Linked DNA regions of Oreochromis niloticus. The protein of the gene in region 1 interacts with the protein of each later gene in a biochemical or structural test. Links are inferred from orthologs where the notes say so. Each region holds a gene or a part of one and is shown on either strand. Other genes may lie near its edges.

Region 1 (8,326 bases):
TGTAAAGGGCGAAGTCTGTAGAAATTACAGGCTGATTAATGTGTGAAAGCCCACATGGACACTAAACAGTATGAATACACTAAGACCTCATACACAGTGCCATTTTATTTTTTGCATACTTGTCACACTAACATGTTTTAGATAATCAAACAAATTTTAGTATTAAACAATGATGACCTGAGTAAATACAAAATGAGATTTTAAAGGATGATTTCCTTTATTAAAGGAATAAAGCTCCAAACTTACTTAGGGCCCAAGCCCTACCTTGAAAAGCAATTGCCGCTATTGTTAAATCAAAGCTAACCACATTTGTTTCTTGGAAAGCTGAGTTCAATTTCACTAGTCACAGACGTGTTGAAATCACGTACATAGAACCTGTCCGATAAAGTGAAGTAGGCTAAAAGATCGCAAAAAGCAACCCATCATGCCACGAGCTAAAGAAATCCAAAAACGGGTAAGAAACAAAGTCATTGACATTTATCAGTCTGGATAGGTTTATAACACCATTTCTGGGACTCCAGCGAACTACAGCGAGAGCCGTTATCTACAAATGGAGAAAACTTGGAACAGTGGTGAACCTTCCTATGAGTGGCCAGCCTACCAAAGAATGTCTCAATGGTCACGAAAGAACCCAGAACAACATCTAAAAAAGTGAAGGCTTCACTTGCCTAAGTTAAAGTCAGAATTCATGATTTAACAATTAGAGATTTGGCAAAAATGACAAAAACAAAACACTGCTGGATTCTGATAATTCTTGAAATCAAAAAGAGGTAAAAAAAAAATGCAAATATGAATCTCATATTTGCTAAAAAAAAAAAAAAACATTGGTGGTTCCCATCAAGATGGAAAAATATTCTATTGACGACGAGACAAAACTCAAAGATTTTATTCCTGTTACGTCTGGTGTAAAGCTAACACAGCATTTAAAATTAAAAGCGCATCGTACCAACAGTCAAACATGTACCTGAATGATTTGCTGCAACACACCAGCAAGTATACCTCTGAATCACTAAAAAAAACCCAACCCAAAACCAAATGAAGGTTTGAGAGTGGTGCTAGAAAACCCTCCAATATGGTTGAATTAAAACAATTCTACAAAGAGTGGGATGAAATTCCTCCACAGCAATGTGAAAGACTAATTGTCTGTTATCCCAAATGCTTGATTGCAGTTCTTGCTGCCAAGGCAGGCACATCCAGTTATTAGGTTTAGGGGGGCAATTGCTTTCTCATTTACAGAAAGGTTGGTCCTGCGACTGACTAATGACTCCAAGGTGTACCCCACTGTTTGCATGGATTAAAAAAGAAGGAAAAAAATTAGGAAGTGACAAATACTTTTCACAGTACTACAGACTTGGTGTATAAGTGAGTATTTAAATTTTGTTTAATAAAAATAAGAAAAAATTGTAAGTGATAGGGTTGAGTGGTATGTTAAAAGTTTCCAGTCAGCCAATGTTGGTCCATCCCAGTGTATTTGCCAACAGCTAATGTATTTATCCTCTTAACCCTAGTATGCTCTATCAGTTTACTTTTGCTTTTCAGTGGGCAAAGAAAAAAAAAAGGCCTTTAAGTTGGTGGAAAAACCCGAGCTGAAGCCTCTTTTGAAAGTTTTGCTGGGCAGCATGTGTTTGTTGGCAGACTGCCAGTGAAAATGCAAGAGAGGGGAAGTCAGCAGACTGGCTGTCTTCTGTTCACTGTTGTTCAGATTGACTCTGTCAGGCTGGCCTTTGAGGCCTGTAATCCAGGTGGTCTGTTCTTTGCGGCGCCCTCTTCCCTCCTCATCCTCCCTCTCTCCCTTCACCTCCGCTGCCCCGTGCCCACAAACACGCCTGGCATCAGCGGCTTCCTCTCTGAGCAGTGGTGTCTTCCTTCCACCAATCACATGGCTCTGCAGTTATGGGCACATTGGTGTAAGCCAATGAACGACACCTGTTTCTCTCAAGAGTGCTTCTACATGCCAGTCATAACACCCACTTTATTTGGCCTCTGTCACAAAGCCAATCTCAACACGTAATTCACGGGCATCCAGGCCATGAGAGGCACAGGCAAGAAGAAATATGGATTTTAGCGATGGGGAAAGGACCTTCTCGAAAATTACTTTCCCAGCACAAATGTCACAGAAAATCTGTGTTGCATCATTGCATCATCGGAAAAAAGTATCATGCAGTAAAGGAACCTTTTGATAGGACTGAGGGATCATTGTTCGGTGGTAAGAGTGGAAGAATTACTCATTTTCTGCCTGAAAGCCTGAAAACTTTTCCCATGTTTCTGTGTACACCTGAGACTAGTCGAAGGGATCACATGTTTTAGCTTTTCCAACATGTATATGTTTTATTTTATTACAAAGATTTTCCTTTTTCAAGCCTGGTTAAAAAACATATAGCAACTGTCACTTAAGAACTGCTGCAGTGTTGTCAGTCGATGCCATTCAGATTTCTTTGCACTGGCCAAATGCAAACAAATTCCTGAAAGCTTTGAAAAAGTCTTTGTGCTTCACCAAATAGCTTGTTATAAGGGTTTATTGTCTGTCGTTTTAATTTTTTCTTAAGGTCAAGATTATGTATCAGATGTCTGCTTTTACACAGTAACTTTTTTTTTCTTTTCATTAAAGTAAAATGACAGCAACCTGTGAATTTATGTGGTAAGTTTAATCTGGCTCTTCAGCCTTCGGTTTATAATACTGTACTAAAACCTCACCTTAATAATACAAGTATTAAAGAAAACATATAAATTGTATTTCTTTACCAAAATGGAGAAAAAAAACATTTGCATTAAAAAAACAATACTTTTTTTGCTTAAACTGTTGGTTAAATATCTGACCCTATTGTAACCTACTCAATCTGACAAGACTTAATTTAAACTGGTTGCTTGATGGAGGTCATGGTTCACTAATGTTATGTTTATACGTTAAACATAACATTAGTCTATTGTTCTTCCCATGATTCTATTTTTTTCTTAATCTATATTCTGTTTTATTTGGTATGTCTTCTGCTTTGACTGTGTTATTGTACAGTACTTTGGTCAACAACTGTTGTTTTTAAAAGTGCTATATAAATGAATAAACTTGAAACTTAAAACTGAAATATTAAGCAGGGCTGTGAATCTCTTGGAAATAAAGAAGCACTTGCAATTGTATACAAGCATTATTGGAGGTTTTGCTTTACCTTAACTCCCCTTAAATTTGGCTGGTCTTTGGCTTTTCCATCAACATTACACATTGTTTGGGGTGTTGGGCTGCATATTTTTTTTACATTGTTCCTTGAAAGCCACAATCTTCTGGACTTTCCAAGAATGATGTATAGGAAGGCAGAGAAATAACAACCTTTGTGTGATTAGTGGTTTTGTTGCTCTATTGGGGACTTTTTTGTTTAACATGAACTTTTTAGAGTCCATTGTAACCTGGACTAAAATAAATATTCAATGGTGATTTTTTTATCTTGTGATTTTGATTTGAAAAGAATTCGGCTAGAGTATGGTATACCAATTGAAAATATGCAAGAATATATTTTGGGGGCAGTTGTGGATGACAAATAAATCTTCAGTGACCAAGGGCAGCTACCCGCCTTGAGTTGCTGAAGTTGATAACAGTAAATAATAGTCCTAGTTGCATGAACACAGCTTTTAGAGTCATTTCTATTACATTCTTGTAAAATGACCTTGACTGGGCGCTTTAGAAAACATGCAGAGCATACATAAGTGCATAGAATCAGTCAGTGGCAGATTCCTCTCCAACACCTCAAGAGGCAACCGACTCCATTGTGTTTTTGTTTTGCTGATTCTGTGTAAACACAGGCTAGTAGTGGTAACCGCATCCCTGGCAAAAGAAATGGGTTTTATAATGAAAGAACATGTTCAAAAGCACAAACATTAAGAAATAGAGAGAGAGAGCGGGAGACAGCAAGGCTTGGAAGCTGATCGAGGTATCAGTAGAGAGGAAAAAGAACTGGCAGCACTCTAACCAGTGTGTCTTCCCAGGACATAAAAGACTTGCTGCTCCGAACTGGGATTATCCTCCACCTCTGGGGAGTCCCTGTGATGAGCAGCAAAGGCAGAATAAAAGATGTGGAAAGAAATTGAAGGAAACAGTAACAGAGGAGAGGAAGTATGGGGAAAAATTAAATGTGAAAGCATGTGCACTGGGGAGGGGTAAGACACATGCATCTATAGACTCTGATCCACATATATGCCAGCTCCACTTACGGACCTGCAAATACTCAAGATGCTTCAGTTGACCATGTTTGTGCTTTCTTCTTTTTTTTCTCTTTTTTTTTTCTGCAACCTCTCCTGACCCCATGAAAAATGGCCCATGCTGGTAATTCAGCCATGAGCCATGTCCCTGTTTGATCTAGCGTCTTCCTGAAAATCATCTCTCCAGGCTCAGACATTTTAAATCAAATGTGATCCTTCCTTTCTAGCAGAAAATACTTGTTGGAGATGCAGATTGCAAAGGTCTACACTGCAAAAACACAGATCTTAATGATACCTGAAGAGAAATCATTTTGTGGGTAATGGGTTTAATGCATTCTTTCTTTGCACGTAGTCCACCTCTCCAACATGACATTGAAATTCAGCATATTAGTCTTTGCAAAATCTTGCTAATAGGCTGACAAAAACATAGCATATGGCCATGACAGCAGCTTGGCTTTCACCTTGATTTAAGAACAATTGTCTCTTTCATGAAATTTCCAAAGTTGTCGCTTGTATTCTTCTGGAGCAAATTTGCTACACAGGGCAGTGTTTAGATTTTCACTTGCTTAAAGAAAATATGAGTTTTAGAACCAGCAGTGTCACTAAGCAGCTCTTTTGGGACTTGGCAGCTGAATTAATTGTTGGTTTGAAATAAAGCATTCAGGGGAGAAACGTTACGCTGTTGACACAAGCTGTTTGAGTTGTCCATCTGACTTATTTTGTTAATAATGGGCCAAAAGGTAATTGATTTTGTGTGTACTGGACAGACTGTCTGTGTGCAATAGAGCAAGAGAAGGGGGCGGATGGAGGCGTGGGGGTGGTAAGGTTGGGCCTCAGTCAATGCAACTATATTTTCATGATTTTGCTTGTTTGTCTTGGATACAGCGTGCCTCCGATCCTCTGGCCTGCAGAATTTTGTGTTTGTTTTCGGTGAGTCAATGCACTGATCCAAAGTACACTCCTCCAGTGACAGAACTGACAGAACACACATGCGTGTTCTTCAGGACATACAACCTCTGGTCTTATTGGAGCGCGTGTGTTCCCACCCAGTTTGCGAGGCCTCTTCCTGCAGCACGTACACACATAGTTTCCCATCACCCTCCGAGCGGCCCCCAGTGTTTTAAGCTTTCTCTGAGAGACTTTCTCGCACTTTGTTTTCCTCCCCCATTTGAATCTCTGCTATCTATTTATGAATCTCTAGCGCTCATTCTATGTGTTCATCCATCGATCAGTCCATCTCTACCCATCATTCCCGTTCCCTTCATCTCTGGCTTGTTTCCCAGAGGAAGAAGGAGAAGGAGTGGGGGGTGGGAGTAGGGCAGTTCCAGCTTACGGCCAGCAGCCAGCTCCTTCTCCATTTGGATTTCATTACAAACAGACCAGCACCTCACAGCTTACAACAAAAGAATAATAATTATAAGGGCAAAAATGAGAAGAAGAAAAAAGGTGGGTGGAAGACATCTAAAAGGCTTGTAATACAGTCAGTATATTTAATCTTTCCGCTGGGGCGGGAAATAAAGCTTTGGTGTTGATTCTGTGTCTCAGAACTAAATGTGAACCATATACTTTTGTATTTTTGTATTTAGATTTGTGTAAGAGGACAATTACCATTTTTATAGGCTGAATACTGACTCGGCAAATGAATGCAGGGAGGGTGGACATAAGGCTCTGTATGGGTCAACATCTGCCTTGGGCTAATTCCAGGTGTTGCAGAGAGTAAACAGCCACATAAACAGAGCCTAGACACACAGTGTTCAGCTTTTGAAGTGTTTCAGTGGTTCCTTGACACAAATGGAAGTCGTCAATCGCCCACTGTCTCCAAACACGTTAGGAAGTGACAAATTCCTCATCCTGATGTCACCAAAGGGTAGGGACAGTTTGTTTTTGCCATCGTGGTAATTGGTATAATTAGTCATCAGTCACTGATGGCTTTATGACTCCAACGTCAATACAAGACACACCTTGTGGAACAATTTCACTTCCACTCCTCCACATATAATGCTGTATTTTTTTTAATCTTGTGCATTTACATTTATTTTCCCTGCTAATGGTGTTTGTATTGACATTTTAAAGACTGCTCTTTATTATTTACTTAGTTGTGATGACTTTTTTCTGACTTTTATTGCAGAAATTGCAGAAAAAGATCAGTTAAAGTTTCTGGATTCGTTTTTGACTAGCCTGAAGGTGAAATACAGAAATCCATTCAGCTGTTTAGTTGGTTTAATTATATGACTTTATTATTTGTAGTGTGGCTCGCAGTGTTCTTAAAAAGAAATACTGGCCACACAGACCTCAGATAACTTTAGTTTGTGTAGTTGCACGGCATCATTGAGCAACCATTTATTATTTTTAATGTTGACACTGGTGCTTTTAGGCCCCTCTTATAGTCTATGCGCAAAAATAAACCACTTTGTTCTCTAATATTTTTCTGAGTCTAAATATATATATATATATATATGTATGTACTTCATGCAAAATTTTCAAGGTTTGTTTTAGTGTTTTTCTTTCTTTGTCGTTCCACAAACCATTTTCATTTTATTTCATAAGCGTAACCTTGCAGAAACGTGACCCTTGTTTGAAATAATGAATGATGAATCATTATGCCCAGCTAGATATGAAAGTAAAAAAAATTGATCTGATTCTTTGTACCTGGTCTTGCTAAATTGCATTCAGTCATGTGCTTTGCTGTCAGCTCATTATCTCTCTGTGTTTGTGTTTGTAAGTATATACTCGGTCGTGCGCCTTCAAGTGTGTTTTGGCAGTGAGCAAGTCCGATAAGGGCCTGTGTTGTGATATTCATCTCTGGGCTCAACAAAAGAGGAAGTTCAATGAATCAGAAGCTTCCTGGCTGTGTTGTATTTCCCCAGTTACATGTATTCATAGCAGTCTTGGGCATGAAACCTTAAATGTCCTTAAAAGGTTTAAATACTTTTTTTTTTTTTTTTGCTTTGCAAATCTTAATCATAGAGATTTATAATATAATAAAGCAGGTGGTAAAGGTAATGTTTTCTCATCATCTTTTGTCTGCGAACTTCAAGAATCGCCTCCAAAACCTCCACATTATCTGATTAGGGTCATTCAAAAAGCCTGTCAGTCTTTACTGTCTTGAATATTACTGACCTCTTTTGACTTACTAAGCTGCTGTGGTAATGAATACTCAAACAGAGCCGAAGAACATCAGTTGCAGTGTAATCTTCTTCACCCGACAGCTGCTCTGCAGGCTGCAGAAGTAATTATCGCTCAATGCCATGTCTTTGATCAACCACTATTGTCAGTTGCCGTCTATGACATAAGCCGCTGACCAAAGCACAGCAAGTGAGATATAGTCACTATGCTGGCTGTCATTCATTTGTTGAGTACATTTCCTTCACAGTAGCTGTGTTGCCTTCATTCTTTGTGCCCTTGGCCTTTTTACTCCTTCTCTTGGTGTACTAGTTTTCTCCTCACAGTGAGAAATGTGTGTAAATGAATTTGGTGTGTAAATAAAGCTACCTGCTATAGGTAGTACTTCCAGTGTGTTTGCCTTTCTTCAAGTAAAGCAAATCACTGAGCATGACTGAATTTACAGTGCAGTTGACAAACAGCCACCAAGTAATTCCATACTTAAATAAAGCAATATGGGAAGGATAAGCCTGGTGATTAGTAGGTTAAAGAAAACACTTTCCAACTTTCCAAGTGCGCTCAGTCACCAGGGTGAGTGGCATTCACATGAGGCTCTAAGCATGGAGCAAGGTTTCTAAAGTGTGTCTTTACCCAGTGAAAAATATGTTAAACTAAATTTGATGCTCACATTTCCTTTTGTAATTTCTCAGGTTGTTCAACCAGTTGCATTTGGCTTTGCTTCACACTCTTCAGAAATGCCTTGTTTAAAGGTTAGACCAGAAAGTTACAGTAGTGTGTGAAATGATCTGTACATAAGAATTTGGCCCAACCTCAGTCAACTGCACCTCTGTGCACGAGCTGGTTGGTGCGCTGCGTGGAGCTCCCAGGGAGAGATGGTATATCACCTCAGAGCTAAAGACAACAATTAGGCCATAACAGCAGATCATAGTGTTGGCAGCCGGGGCACTGTTAGCAATAGTGCCAGTAATCTGTGGCTTAGCTGGCACCTAGCCACATCCAGCCACAGCTTCATGGCCTC
Region 2 (7,446 bases), on another chromosome or scaffold:
TAACATCAAGACAAACTGTTTTCACATGAGGACCTCAGACTTTTTCTTTTTTTTCTTCTTCGTCAGTCACAATCTGTCCCTGTAATTCAGGGTCAAAGGACAGAGTTTCCTGAAACCCATTTCTGTGAAAAGCTTCAGGGGCAAAGTTCAGCGGGTGCTGCTCGGCATGGAGGGGGAGGGGGAGGGAATGAAAGGGAGGATATTGTATCTCCATTTATGTGGCATTCGGGGTCAGAGTTCAAAGATGAAAGGTCACTCCAGTTCAGAGGTTACAAGGTACAAGATACCGTCCAGATTGCCGAGCGGAGCCTGCTCATCCAACTTTTGACGTCTCAACGCAATCGCGATCCTGAGCGGCACTCGTGGCGCAATCAGACAGCAACAATAAAAACAGCAGCAACATCAACTTTTTATGAATAGCACTTTGGCGAGGACTTTGCTCAGACTTTTAACTGCTGCTGTACTCAAAATGCAAATTGCAGGTAACACCTATTGTGAACAACAGCCTTGTAAAAGAAAACTATCCAATTTACCTGACTGACATGTTGAGTGCCGCCTCTGTTTATACTACTGGCAATGAACTGAATTACTGTTTAAACACCACAGTGGGGTTACCGCAGGTTAGAAGGCACAGTATCCAGCTGGCTGAATACAAGTGGCCAATAACACAGCATGATGTGATAACACAGCAGTGGGAGGAGGAGGAGGAGCAACACCCCCCAAACACACACACACACACAAACACACACACACACACATACACACATACATCCTTCTCTCTCGCTCACATTCTCACACACACACACTGCCCCCCCCAAACCTGGATTTGAAAAGGGGAAATAGAGACAGGGATGGCTGGAAGTAGGTTATGTTGTTGTGTTCTCATTCACCAGAACACTAATGTTCCCCAGGTCCTTAGAGACATTTTGTTCAAGGCCATGTTGAGTTGACAGACTGCAGGCCAGTGGACCAGATAGCACAGATTAGCACAAGATGACACAAAGAAAAGAGGGGGTTATTTGGAAGCATAAGGTGCGCAATCATTGGTTTAGATTTACAATGTTTACAATCATGACGAGCGAGAAACATTTTAAAAGTTTCCATGAGCGCATCTTCTGCTCGGCGAATGGCACCCTGCTTCACAGTCAAGTGACACACCTGGGAGACATCTCAGCATCATATCCAAAGGTGCTGTGATGCCATTTATGTTGTTCTTTTCCCCACTTGGTCACTGTGAGGCAGACAGTACAGCTCCAGCACTATGACAGTCTCATATGGAGCAACCTAATGATTTGTTTAGGGATGCTCACAACAAGGTTATTTAGGGCACTTCTTACTTAATCCTCCATCCAACTGAAGGGCTATAATTGAACCTGCTTTAGATGGCTAGATTAAGAAATGTTAGTCTTTTAGATTTACTGTAGTCTGCCTGTGAACGTGGACTGTTTCTGTTAACTCATCTAAGGGGAAGAGCAATTTTTATTCCAAAGCAAAATGTGAATGGTGGATTATCTTTTACTACAATGCTATTTTTAAGGAAAATTTAAAAAAGCACTTCCTTAAAGGGGAAATTCACCAATTTAGTGTTGCACTTTGACAAAGTAAGGAGACTTGAAGTACTTGCTTTCAGGCTCATACATTTCCTGTACTGCTAATTTCTCTCAATACATTTTAACCAGACTTCTTTGGCCACTTAAGTGTTCCAGGCATGAGCATCCAGGCTTTATGTTCTAATCTTTCTCATTTTTCCCCTTTTTCTTTTTTTGTTTTTTAACTCTTTCCCCCGCATGTCAATTCTGGCATTGCCATATTACATATGCACTTATGTGAATAACAATAGAAAATAATAAATGAGAAAGAAAATAAAATGTGGCACTCCTGGTTACAAAGAAACCAGTTTTTGTGCAGTAAAGCATAAAAGTCCCTCTTTAAGAATTTTTTTTAAATTATTATTATTGTCATTTTAAAGGACCTTTTGGAGGTTGTTATATATAGGTAAACCAGCTGCTGTTACAATTACAACTGCAACTGTTACCACTGTGGTTAATGTTAATGTAGCATTTGTTACTACAAGCATGATTCTGTCAACCCTTTGGAACAACTTATATTGATAGTATTAAATAATTAGATTACAAATTATACATCCAAATACAGTTAAATAAAACAAAGGCTTTAAGAAGGTAACACAGGCTCATGCCAAATACTGAACAAGTGGCAACCCTGAGGACTACAAAGTGAAGCCAGTGCCAAAAACTGCAGTTCTTCTAGTGACCACATGGGGCTGGCTCCAATAGTGAACCAATAGACTCCCATATTAAAATGTCCACTTTTGCAACATTAAGAAAACATTTTTTTAAACTTTATAATATGTTTAAAATATCAGGTTTAGGCTTAAATTTAGGGGCCTGGGATGTGCCACTATAAGCAGCTATTACCTGCACTTGTGTGAATTATTGAACTCGACCTCTCAGCCATATTTGCACCATGTTGGTGCCTTATGGAACATTTTTAATTGAATTATCAGGCGAATAATATGTTGTGCTGCATGGTACTGGCCGTCCACAAAGTTATTGTTATTGAAATTCTAGTGTATTAGTCTGAAACCATCAACCACCAAATCAAAAGTCAAGTTTGCGAGCTAGCTAATAACATCACTCCACCGCTTTGTCCAAGAAGGGTCACTTCAAAACGGACATGGCTGAAATGCTAACACTGAGGGTTCAATATGTAGAATCCAGTTAATATACTTGGACTAGGGTAAGGCTAGCAAGCAGCATTCATAAATTGTATGGGTGCAACAACACATACATTTATGTGCTTATTAGCCCTAAGTCACAGGCTAACAAAAGCCAACAGTGGACTTGAGATGTCGTGTTCAGTGACTTCAGTTAGTGAAGGTGAGGCCTTGCAGAAAGGCCCCACCTGTTAAAGAAAGCACCCTCACCCCTAATGCTAAGCTACAGAAAAAAGATCAAGAAAAAAATCTCCCAGCATAATAGTTACAATGGTGAACGCTATCTGCAGAGGCCAACCTGGAAAAATGGTGATTTTTATTGTAAAGTTTTAATAAGGATGTTAAACTGGGAATTGAGGCAGCCTCAAGTGGCCATTTGAGGAATTACACTCTCTATTTATATAGACATGCTGTAATAAAAAAAAAGTGAAGCAAAAATAATAATAAAAAGAATGAATCTGAGAATGGTCGCTCACTCTGTGGGCAATATTCACTTTTAAGAGAAAAGAGCTGTATTTTGTATGTAAGCATTATGTAGCAGCAGGTAATGGATAACAGGTATTGATTATTATATAACATTTTACTACAGTATGTTTCTAACTAACCAGGCAGCTCATTCTCTTTCTTTTGACAGTTCTTTCGTTAAAGTTAGAACACATTTTGGTTCAGCTTGAAGAAAAGCAGGTGTGAAATGTAAAAATGAGATCAGAGGTCAAACGTGACATGATATTTGGATGCAAGCTATAATGTGATATTTAGAATCTCCATATACCGGTATCATTTCTTATTTGTTGCCAATACAAACACGGGCAGTAGGTTTTAAAGAAAACAGGCATTTTATGAAAGTTTTCAGCCAACAAATTGTTAACTTGACCTCGAAGACCTTTGTGGATGTTGGTGGAAATTTTGGATTATTAACATGACCCCACTCCACACACCTACAAAGTTTTATCAGCATTTATTCATAACTTTTTGAACATTCTTTTTTAAAGTAAGACAGAATGAGACGTAACCAAAAAGATCCCCTCCTTGGTAGGTCATTTTAGCCCAGCTCATTCTTAATAATTTAAATGATTAAATAATAATCTGCTAATTAAGCATTTCGATTGTATGTCCCTTGGTGTGAGACAAACCGTAGGCGGTGTATATGACTTAGTTTAATATGGAAAAAAACAGCGTTAAGACCATTTGCTGTACATCTAATGTTAAAAAGCGCTTCCTTCTTGGCAGAGGGAGTATGTGGGCAGCGGCGAAGGCTTGTTCCTTTAAGGGTGGTGTCAGCGGCAGGCGGAGGAGGAGGAGTGTAGCTGTCTGCGCTCACTTCTCCACAGCGAGGGGACTCCGAGAATAAACAATTTCCACAGAATACGCGCTCCACACCTCGGCTCGCTCACAGGCGCAGCATTAATTTGTAGAATTAAAAAATCATATCAAATCAAAACGAGGCTTATTAGAAATTATTTCGGACTTGATTTTTTCCTCCCTCGAAGCCTGCCTCGCCATTTCTGCTTCCTGCCAAAAGTGTCGCGACCGTTTTCATTGGATTTGCCTCCTCCTGTCGAATGATAACGATGCGCCTCTCCGGCTGACTGTGGGGTGGACGAACGCAGGTAAGGGAATCTGTACACGAGCGCACTGTCACGTCTGGACAATGTTATTATTATACTGCTGCGGGTGGAAACGTACACGGGTGCGCGTATGTCGGGCAGTGGTTAGATCGTGCGCTTTTTTTCTCTGTGTGTGTGTGTGTGTGTGTATGTGTGTGTTTGTGTCGGGGATCGGTAACGCTGTTCGTGTGTCGCACGGCGGCCAGGGGCGCTTATGGATGTGTCGCTGAAATCGCTGCATAAAGAAGCGGGGGATAAACCTGCCCGTGTGGCTTTCCATTTAGCCGCACAGCCGCTCAGTGACGGTAGCCAGTGCCCGTATCCTTCGGATCAGTGGCTCAAATTAGGCCCACGATAGAGGCATTTCTCTATAAATGTTTCTCCCCATTCACGCACACACCGCCTCTGAATCTCCTGAAACCCTCCTGCTAATTTTCACAGTGTATTCTGGGCTGTCAGTCTGCTTGGCAGCACGAACACCGAATGACTAATGTCACCCGTTGGCTTAATTTAATAACAGTGCGCACCGTCTTCTGCTTGGAGCACGGCAGCTGTAATGTAACGTTAGTACAGTTAATGTAGTTCATCACGTCGGGTCAAAACACTGCACAGCCCCCCATCTTGTAGTTTTAGCACCACCAAAGGGAAACGCTTCACAGTTGCACCGGTGTGTAGATTACAGTTGGCAAGTCTTAAGGGATTTTTAATGGCCCTCCGAGCGTAAAGGGTCTTATAGTTGACTCATATGTGATTGTTTCAAGGTGTTAAAAGCCACCTGTGTCCACTGGGTGTAAAAATGAATTTGGGTTGAATATTCATTGAGAAAGACTTTGCATGTGTCACTGCAGTAGCACTCAGGGGAAAGCAGGGACAGTGACACTAACCCCTGAGCATGTACAGTAAACACAGTGTAGGCGAAGGTTGTTAAAAATGTTGCAAAGCAGTGTTGCTACAACAACTTTATTACACAGTCAGAATCAAGGTAATGCTTTTTTTAATGCACTCAAAAAGGTGCGCACTTGATGTGTGGCTTAGTTGGTGATTCCCATTAATACTCGTTGTTTTTTTGCTTGTTACTTACACCACCTCTGAAAATGTTGAATACCTTTACCCTCCCCAGGGTCCTTTGATAGAGATTAGTCTAGTCTGCAGACTAAAACACCCATCATTTCAAGTTGGTCTGTTGCAGCCTGTCACATCACCTGGCCGTCATGTCAGATGTGTTTTGATAGATCTCAAAGGCTTGGATGTTTTCTCGGCGAGAGTTTCTGAGTGGCCTTTATGTAGGTGTTCCTTTTTTTCACAAATATCTTATTGCTTCATTGGACTTTGGATCCGTGTGGAGGCAAAAGGTCAGGGGCTGAAGTTTTCTGAGAGTTACCGGAAAGAGGGCAGAGTACAAGCTGCAGTTCAGCTTCTGAAATAACCTGTTTGGATGTTGGAATATGAGGCTTTTTAAAAAAGGTTCAGTTAATTTTCTGCCTTCCACATAACTGCTTAGGCTACCAATCTAAAGTAACGCAGAGAAGAGTCAAACTTTCTTAAAGCCTTCTAAATACTGCCTGTGTCTGGGGGTCTGTCTCTTAGCCTCTCTTTTGTTGAACATTTAAGCTGCTTAATTATTTGACCTGAACTTACACAAGATGTTCAAGGTAGTTCAACTTGTCCTCTGTTGCCACAGATAACGTAAAACCTCCACGTTTATAGCCCAACTTTTTAAGTTGTGCTTTGTGAGTGTTTGAGTGTCTGGCCTGCGTGCTGTAATTCAAAGGATCCTCTGTGTTGGACGGGGCTTGATTTGACTCTGCCATCTGCTGTTGTCCCGGGAGCTGCTGTTGAGTGATGTGCAGTAGCCTGCAACAGAACCAGAGGACATTCAAATGGCCAAATGCAAATGATGCCGAGGCTGCTCAACAGTCACAAGACTGGACTCTGAACTCTCTCCTCTCTTGTCCACTGGCTGCCTTTCATTACTGCAGAATCTTATCTGCCATCAAAACACTGCTGCCGCCGCCGCCGCTGCTGCTGCTGCTGTATGAAAGTGGCAAGTTTTGACATGAGAGTGTGTGTGTGTGTGTGTGTGTGTGTGTGTGTGTGTGTGTGTGTGCTCTTGCAGGTGTGTTCTGCACATCTCTTTTGCACATCGTGGAAAACACAAAGTAATTTCAGAATCCCCCTGCTTGTTGCTACTTTGTGACTTTGAATTATGTAAAGGAGAAATCGCTGTAATAAAATGTATTTTTTTTCACAGGATGACTCCACAGAGTACTTGCCCAGCCACTTACCTCTACTAACAGCTTCCCTAACTACTGCCACTGTGCCAGCTCAAACTCTTACTGTTTGGAAATCTGTCATAGACCACAGCACGAGCACAGGGTGGACAGAAATTGAGAGTGGCGTCCGCTTTTTGATTGCTGAGATACTCGGCAGCAAGAAAAAAAAAAAAGAAAAACTAATGTGCAATCTACCAGAACAAGTGTCATGCATTTACTGCAGAGTTTTTGATTTATTATAGACCTGGGAGATGCCCAGCACTTGTGTTGTTGGCCACCGAACATTGTTCAAGGGCACTTTGACAGTAGATGTGAGGAGCAGAAGTGCATTTCTCATCTACTTACAGGCCCGCGCTCTTGTCGGCCCACTGAGGATTCAAAACCAGACACCTTTGGGCCACAAACTCATTTCTCTAATTGTTTGGGCTCCATAATGCCAGCGCGGGGCGTGCATTAAACCAAATCATTTTATTGTTCCATTTATCGTTTGTTTGTTCAGCAGACACTCTTCTAATAACAATGGTCAGAAGTGCTGCTGTAACAGGAAAAAGATTTACACGTGACAGTTGTGCTGTAAATTTCACAGTCAGAATGAAACATTTATCTCTAATTAACAAGACAGAAGTCAGTGTTGTGTTCAATCAACAAGCTGAAATGATCACTTTTCTCTGATTTACTATTAAGTAGTGCTAATCTTCTCTGTCCCCTCTTCCGTACAAATTCTTGCCCAGTGCCTGTGTCACAAATAAAGGTTTGCTCGATACTCCATATTTATACTTTTTCGGTCCTTTCTTGTTATGTTTACCATTTTTTAGAGAAATGCACAAACCTT

Evidence for each region.
Region 2: the proteins of rxraa (region 1) and nrip1b form a complex in vitro, tested with the Homo sapiens proteins (2 studies listed by BioGRID). The link is inferred for Oreochromis niloticus from reciprocal best matches to the Homo sapiens genes RXRA and NRIP1.

What each region holds. Positions count from the first base shown.
Region 1 is NC_031972.2:29,164,193-29,172,518, forward strand, and holds the start of rxraa (retinoic acid receptor RXR-alpha-A), read left to right. Parts: upstream 1-5,095; 5' UTR 5,096-5,396; coding exon 5,397-5,631; intron 5,632-8,326. UniProt on the Homo sapiens protein: Receptor for retinoic acid that acts as a transcription factor.
Region 2 is NC_031975.2:3,168,873-3,176,318, forward strand, and holds the start of nrip1b (nuclear receptor-interacting protein 1), read left to right. Parts: upstream 1-4,007; 5' UTR 4,008-4,344; intron 4,345-7,446. UniProt on the Homo sapiens protein: Modulates transcriptional activation by steroid receptors such as NR3C1, NR3C2 and ESR1. Also modulates transcriptional repression by nuclear hormone receptors.